Danio rerio: one gene and its partner. The protein of the gene in region 2 purifies or fractionates together with the protein of the main gene of each other region. This does not show direct contact. Links are inferred from orthologs where the notes say so. Each region holds a gene or a part of one and is shown on either strand. Other genes may lie near its edges. The genes, in order: chd3 and bcl11aa.

The links.
Region 1: the proteins of bcl11aa (region 2) and chd3 purify together in Homo sapiens (affinity purification with mass spectrometry; 3 studies listed by BioGRID). This does not show direct contact. The link is inferred for Danio rerio from reciprocal best matches to the Homo sapiens genes BCL11A and CHD3.

What each region holds. Positions count from the first base shown.
Region 1 is NC_133182.1:20,745,815-20,749,641, reverse strand, and holds part of chd3 (chromodomain-helicase-DNA-binding protein 3), read left to right. Parts: intron 1-2,318; coding exon 2,319-2,461; intron 2,462-3,827.
Region 2 is NC_133188.1:29,074,231-29,078,057, forward strand, and holds part of bcl11aa (BCL11 transcription factor A a), read left to right. Parts: intron 1-688; coding exon 689-1,024; intron 1,025-3,827. UniProt on the Homo sapiens protein: Transcription factor. Associated with the BAF SWI/SNF chromatin remodeling complex. Binds to the 5'-TGACCA-3' sequence motif in regulatory regions of target genes, including a distal promoter of the HBG1 hemoglobin subunit gamma-1 gene.

The DNA of each region.
Region 1 (3,827 bases), on a different chromosome or scaffold from region 2:
TAAAATAACCGCTTTTTTGCAGCTTATGTCGATATGATGATAGTACTGATGAATAACTTTAGCAGTTCAGAACATTTATACCATCAAATTCCACTTTGCCCCTCTGAAAGATGATGTCTATGTCAAACCTGTTATAACACACATATAATTATTAATTTTCCTTCATCTTAGTTCCTTGTTTATCAAAGGGATGCCACAGCGGAATGAACCAACTGCTATATTCCATCATGTGTTTTACGCGGTGAATGCCCTTCCAGTTGCAATCCAGTAATAGGAAACAACTTGCACATTCACTTATACACTCATATACCATGGACAATTTTTGTTTACCTTATTCAGCTACACCTCAGGTGACATGGTGGGGCAGTAGGTAGTGCTGTTGCTTCACAGCAAGAAGGTCACTGGTTTGAGCCTCGGCTGGGTCAGTTGACGTTTCTGTGTGGAGTTTGCATGCTCTCCCTGCGTGGGTTTCCTCCGGGTGCTCCAGTTTCCCCCACAGTCCAAAGATATGCGGTACAGGTGAATTGGATAGGCTAAATTGTCCGTAGTGTATGAGTGTGTATGGATGTTTCCCGGAGATGAGTTGCAGGTGGAAGGGCATCCGCTGCGTAAAAACATATGCTGGATAAGTTGGCGGTTCATTCTGCTCTGGCGACCCCTTATTAATAAAGGGACTAAGCCGAAAAGAAAATGAATTAATGAATAATTTAGCTATACAGCAGGCGACATGGTGGTGCAGTAGGTAGTGCTGTCGCCTCACAGCATGAAGGTCGCTGGTTCGAGCCTCAGCTGGGTCAGTTGGTGTTTATGTGTGGAGTTTGCATGTTCTCCCTGCATTTGTGTGGGTTTTCTCTGGGTGCTTTTCACATCGTTCCTAAGTGATGTTTATTTTCATATTTTCTTCAGCAGAAAATCTTATTTCTTTCAGTCTGGCTGCAATAGAATCAGTTTTTACATGTTTTTAAAAAACAATTAGGTCAATATTATTAGTCCTCTTACGAAATATAATTTTTAATTGGCTACAGAACAAACACTGTCGTCCAATGACTTGCCTAATTACCCTAACTGGCCTAATTAACCCAGTTAAGCCTTTAAACAGCACATTAAGCTGAATAGTAGTGTTTTGCTAAATAACCTGTAAAATATGTACTGTCATCATGGCAAAAACATAAGAAATTAGTCAAGACAGCTTATGTTAAGGGGCTGGTTCGAGTCCAGACTGGGTCAGTTAGCATTTACTAATTTTTGTTTATTGTTTACAATGCAAATCCAATTTGATCCACTTATTTGGTAAACAAAGCAAGTCTCCCATATTATATATCTACTAAATGACAGAAAATATTAAACTGTATTCTAAATAAATCATATCAAAATGTAATAATACTTTTATTGTATCACAATTATATTTGTGAAATTAATTAAAAAACTGGATAAATATAAATGTGCACACATTTACACAAGTAAATACATAGACTCAATGATGGGCTAAAAATTTCTGTGCGTGCCGATTCCATGTGGACCTAGTTATTGGTAAATTAAATAAACTAAATTGGCCGTAGTGTATGTGTGTAAATGTAAGTGTGTACGGATGTTTCCCAGTATTGGGTGGCACCTGGAAGGGCATTCACTGTGTAAAACACATGCTGGATAAGTTGCCGGTTCATTCCGCTGTGGCGACCCCTGATGAATGAAGGGACTAAGCCGAAGGAAAATAAATGAACTTATGTTCATTTTAAAAATGTGTTAAAAACCTTCTCTCTGTTAAACAGCACTTGGAAAATATCCAAAAAAGAATCCAATTTCACACAAGGGCTAAGAATTTGGCCTTAAATTCTGCCCTATTTTGAATATATACCCATATAAAAACCCATCGAGCTCATCTGACAGATTTACGTTTAAAGGAAGAAATGTGAGTCACTTAATTTTAATCCTAAATATTTGACTTGAAGTAATTCCTTCTGCTCTCACCATGACTTGAAATGCTCGTCATATGGAGAGCTGCATACAATATTTATCATCGTCTTAAAATTCTCTCCGTAAATAGCTTTCCATGAGAGCCGGTTGTCATAATTAGGTCACGTAGATAATCATGTTTGCGAGATTAATTCATTAAGTCCTACAGCTTAGTTAGGAGTCAGAAGTGGAATGGCTTATATTTCCTGCGCGACAGTCTCGGTCTCTGCGCCGCTCGTGTTGTTCAATAATTGAAGTGGGAAATGATTTGAAGGATACCTCGGAGGGCTCGCTGAGAATCATGGTCACTCTAGTTTCATCAGTTCTCCCGTGTTCGCTCATTTCCCTGCATCTCTCTCTTTCAGATGATGGAGACGACATTGGCGAGGCATCGGACAGGGACAACCTGGGGAAAAAGAAACGAGGGCCTAAGAAAAAGAAAGAGACGAAGAAGAAAGACAAGGAGAAAGAGGGAAAGATCGCCAAAGCACGCAAGCGGAAAAAAATTGTATGTGGCTTATATTGTTCTTCTGTCTTGATATTTAACTGGGGCTTTTATTAAACTTTGATTTAATTAATAATTCACAATCCACCAAATTTATTTTTATCGAACTACAGATGAAATGGCATGCTCATTAATTAACCCTAATTATCTGCAAATACTCATTTGTATTATCTGTAAATACAGCGGGGAAAATTAGTATTGAACAAGTCATGTTTTTTCCTGGTAATAATATTACTAAAGGAGCAACTGACCAGATTTTGGTAAAAACCCAAACAAATTCAATTACCCATTATAGAAGTTTTTACTGATCAGTTCGACATTTCTAACTCAAGATTCTTGGAAGATTCAGGCATTCAAATTAGAACTGGATAAAGTCTATCAAGGTATATAAATAGATGAAGCATGAAGAGTTTACATGCTAAAACCTCTAAAAGCCATTTGATATTTTCTTCTAGAATTAAAATTTTCTCAGACTCCTATATGTAGGCTCAGTAATTTTACTTTTGTAGTGATGAATAAGTTATTTTCATTGATTTTCAAGTAAAAAAACTGAACATAAACATAGGAGGCTGAAAAAAATGCACATTTTAAGAGAACAATTCTGACGGCATTTAGAGGTTTATGCATCTGAAATCTTTACCTGTTCTATTAACTCAAGACTCTACCTTATCAAATATAAAGTAGTACATTGGCTTCATTATTCTTGGGTTAAGCTTAACTAATTCTACCACTCCATCTCTTCTAAATGTAACAAATGTGAATCTTTTTTGGTCATGCCCAAAACTTTTTGAGTTTTGGAGTGAAATTTTCAGCTCCTACTCTAAGGCTTTTTCTTGTGAACTTGCCCCTTTTGCTTGGTCTGATTCACTTTGTGGGTTCAGTCATCAATTTAAAAAAGCTGTCCAATATGCCAGCGGTTCCCAACAGAGGAGTCCAGGCCCACAAGGGGGCCTCAGCTAGCTCTGTGGGGAGTCGTGTCATATTTTTAAAATTTTTTCAGCAGTTCATTTTATCCCCTGGCTGACCAAAATAATTGACAAATTTGTAATTCGTCCTCCACAAAAACAACTGAGTCTCACTGATTCGCCTTCAGCAGCTAGTAGTAATGACCCAAGTGTAGGGATAGTATACAGTTTAACCCAAAGAATGACCAGTCTGGTAGATGAAGAAGAGCCAGAGTCAGAGATTTAAATAAATAAATCAAGTTTACTGAAGATAGTTTGCAGTTTCATCCGAAGAAGCCAGCTTCAACACTCCCAATGAGTTCCTAGGCCGCTCTGCTTACAATCACCAATCAATAACAATTATACTCTCACATAACGTCATTAACTGCGTCATACATATAGGTGTTCTAACCTGATTGGTTAAA
Region 2 (3,827 bases):
TTTTAGGTTCATTAAAGCATGAAATTGGCAGCTTATAAAGAAGGTCAAGATTCTTAACCATTAGCAAGCTAGTGTAACCTCCGCGCGAAAGATTTCGCTAAACAGCCGTTATAAATACCTGTGTGTGTGTGTGTGTGTCTGTGTGTGGACTGTATAGCTAACTTTATTGAGAATGGAAAAAGGTATCAGTACTTTTACTCCAAGTGTGAAGCATGTATTGATGCTGCTGTGACTGTTTTGGTTTTGCTGGATATCTACACGTGTTGTACATGCAGTCATAATCCAGATGTGTGTGTGTGTGTGTGTGTGTGGTTGAGTGAAACAGTCAGTCTGAGATGTAGTTTTAAAAACCAAAACAGATATAACTTATGTTCATTTTAGTGTTATATTATCATGAATCAAGATGTCATGAACTTTTAAGGATTCATATTTTTATGATTGTGAAGTTTTGTTTTTACAAAATGTTTATTTTGTAAATTATTTTATGCTTAAATTATTATTATTATTTTTTTTTTACAATTTCTGAGGTAATCACCTTTATGATTCTGAAATTAAAAACTGAAGTTTGATTTGTAAAATATTTTTTGTGCTCCCTCATCTTGTCTGCGTTCATTACTACACCCAGTCTCTAATATTCTCTCTGCTTTTCATTCCCTCTGTGTCGCATATGGATTCTTCCTGCGTGCAGCCGAGCCCCTGTCAGCCGTGGTCTCGGAGGAGAGGCAGGAACAGCGCGGGCTGGTACAGGTAGCTCCAGAGGGAGACCAGGACCTGCTCACCTGTGGCCAGTGTCAGATGAACTTCCCTTTGGGAGACATCCTTATTTTCATTGAGCACAAAAGGAAGCAGTGCAATGGCACTTTGTGCATGGACAAAGCAGTGGATAAGCCCCCCTCGCCCTCGCACGGTGAGCTGAGGAGAGCCTCCAACCCGGTGGAAGTGGGCGTCCAGGTCACGCCGGAGGACGATGACTGCTTATCGACGTCTTCTCGAGGAATCTGTCCCAAACAGGAAAACATTACAGGTAACCTCACCCAACGTGATTTCTCTTTCATATTATAGCCTGTGTGTATCTGTTTGTGGTGAAGCAGAGTTGTTGTGTGGGCCACATATCGTAGACACATGTCCTTTCTCCATGGGGCGTCTTGGAGACGTATGAAGAGTGCTGAATATTTAAGAGCTGTGGCATAGGAAGGGGAAGGGGGTTTTTTCTGTCAAACCTCAGAGTGAGAAGCCATAACGAAGACCAAAAGAGGAATGGCATGACTTCATAGAGCAACAAACATTTGAAATCTGATTTATTATCTCAAGATCAGCGCTGCTTGGAAGCAAGAATCTCCTTGAGTTGGGATTTGGATAATTAAGCTCAGATTCGAACCGTAGATCACACATTGCCACCACTGGCTGTACGCTTCGGTTTAGCACATTTGCACTTCTCAGTCCTTTTTCTCTGGTAACTTGTCGTTCGCTTGCCACATTTATCAAATGAGGCCTAAAGTGGTAGACTTTGCCTTAAAAGTTGCAGCGCAAAGGGTGTGTTCTTTACGACACAGCAGGCTGCTCGTCTCTACGGGGTGAAAAATAGAAGGATTGAGAGGGGGGAAATTTTGGCACTGGAGGGGCGGTTCGAGGAGTCCTTGCTGTGACAAGAGAGGCCATCCTCCTCGGTGTGTGTCCACAGGCTCATGGGAAATGCCTTTCTGAGCTGCACAGCCTCTCTCATGTGGTCTCGACAGATGTATCTTGATTTCGTTGTGGGTTCTTGCACAGCCACATCTTATCCGTACAAATGCACGCCTGCACATTTTCACTTTCTGTCGAAAAAAGCAAAGGAAATGGAAGGCCGTTTGGTTATTTTGGTTTGTCAGGGAACAATAATACGACGCTAATTATTTGTTTTAGTTTTGTGGATGTGCGTTTTAATTAGCGGTTGACTTTCTGCACTATATAAAACAGGGAAAATACAGTCATAAAAGAAGGAAGTCCCTTATTTTCAACTTAAAATAAAGAAAACAGGATTTGGTTGTAGCATAAGTCTAATCTCCCTTAAGCTGAGCGTTAAGTGAATTGAACTGCTTTAAGTTGTCACTGTGCTATTATGCGTCCATGAGTGTGTCTTGGGCTGGTGAGGCGATTTAGAGTGGCTGTTTTTTTTTTAAGTGCAGAAAATGTGAGAGTGAGTCTTTCCAGTCTGTTTTTCTGGCCTGGCTTTACGTTTGGCCATTCTCTGGTCTGCCTCAAAGATCAGGTTCCAGGAAGCGTCTGGGTCCGGTTAGCCCCATCAACAGTCATTTGGACTTGACCCTTTGCTCCAGGCTAATTATCGCCGGCTCAGTTCAAGTATCAAGTTGTTTTCCAACAGTTCCCTCTCACATATTTCGAATCCTCCTAGTCTGTGTTCATGTATTAAACGTACAGTGGAACTAAATTTGATCAGATATGGAGGCTGAACGGGGTCATTTGCGTCTGCTTGCCCTCTTTGTTTTAAGCATGTTGATGCAGTTTCAGCACAAATTATACAACCTTTGTGCGAGCCGGCTATCGCGCACGTCTCTTGTTTCTGTCAGCCGCTAAACTGGGTTATTAAACTCATTTACATCATAATGTATCAGGGTTCAGCTGATAGCGTTGGGTCACTGGTATTATGTGTGCTTGTTATTATTATTTTTTTAAAACAATTTTGTGGGTAGGACCATAACAGCTTCTCAGCATGTTACTGAATCTGCTGCCGTGTCAGGTCAGACAGGGAAGAGATATTAATTAGCCATATTATAGACGATTTCAGACATAACATATTCAAGGTTAGTTATGACTGCAGCTTACCATGAATATGTAAACTAGAACACTTTGAGAGTGCGTGAGTGTGTTTGTACCTGGGTTAGAGGTGGACTTGAATGTGACAAAACTGCATTTGAAAGAGTGAGGGAAAGGTGGCAGTTCAACACTTTTAAGAAAAAGCTGGCAAACTTTTTTAAAGTTTGTTCTACCTGTTTTTTATTAATTTAATTTCTTTTTGAATGGAAAATGTTTCAAATTCAGTTTATATGTGTTATATGTGTTATTTTTTACACAGCATTTTATTATACATTTTAAGATATCATTTACATTAAAAAGTTTGGGGTCAGTAGAACTTTTAAATGTTTGAAAATAAGCTTCTCCTGCTCAGCAAGGCTTCATCTATTTAGTCAAAAATACAATAGAAAATGTAAAATTGTGAAATGTTATTGCACTATAAAATAACTGTTTAAAAGTAGTTTATAATTTATTATTTTATTGCAGTGATTTTAATGATGAATTGTTATCTTCAGCTTTACTCCAGTCTTGAGTCACTTGAGCCTTCAGAAATCACTCTAATATTAATTATTATTGTTATTATTATTATTATTATTATTATTATTATTATTATTATTATTATTATTAATGGTAATAGTAATAGAAGCAATAATGATTGGAGTAAAAGTTTCATTTGAAACTAGTAATAAATAAAAAAAAAAAAATAATTAAATAAGAAAAATGATAAATAAATAAATAAATAAATAAATATTTAATAAATAAGTATTGAACTTTATTTTTTTACGTTTAATAAAAGTCACCTTGATTAATAGAATAATTTCATTTTAATGATTAAATAAAATTTATTATTATTATTATTATTATTATTATTAATGATAATAATAATAATAATAATAATAATAATAATAATAATAATAATAATAATAATAAAAACTGACCCCAATCTTTTGACCGGTAGTGTATATTAATTAATTAATTAATTTTATTTGAATTTTAAATGTTTTAGAAGGCATTATTAGGCTGCAGTTCAGAAA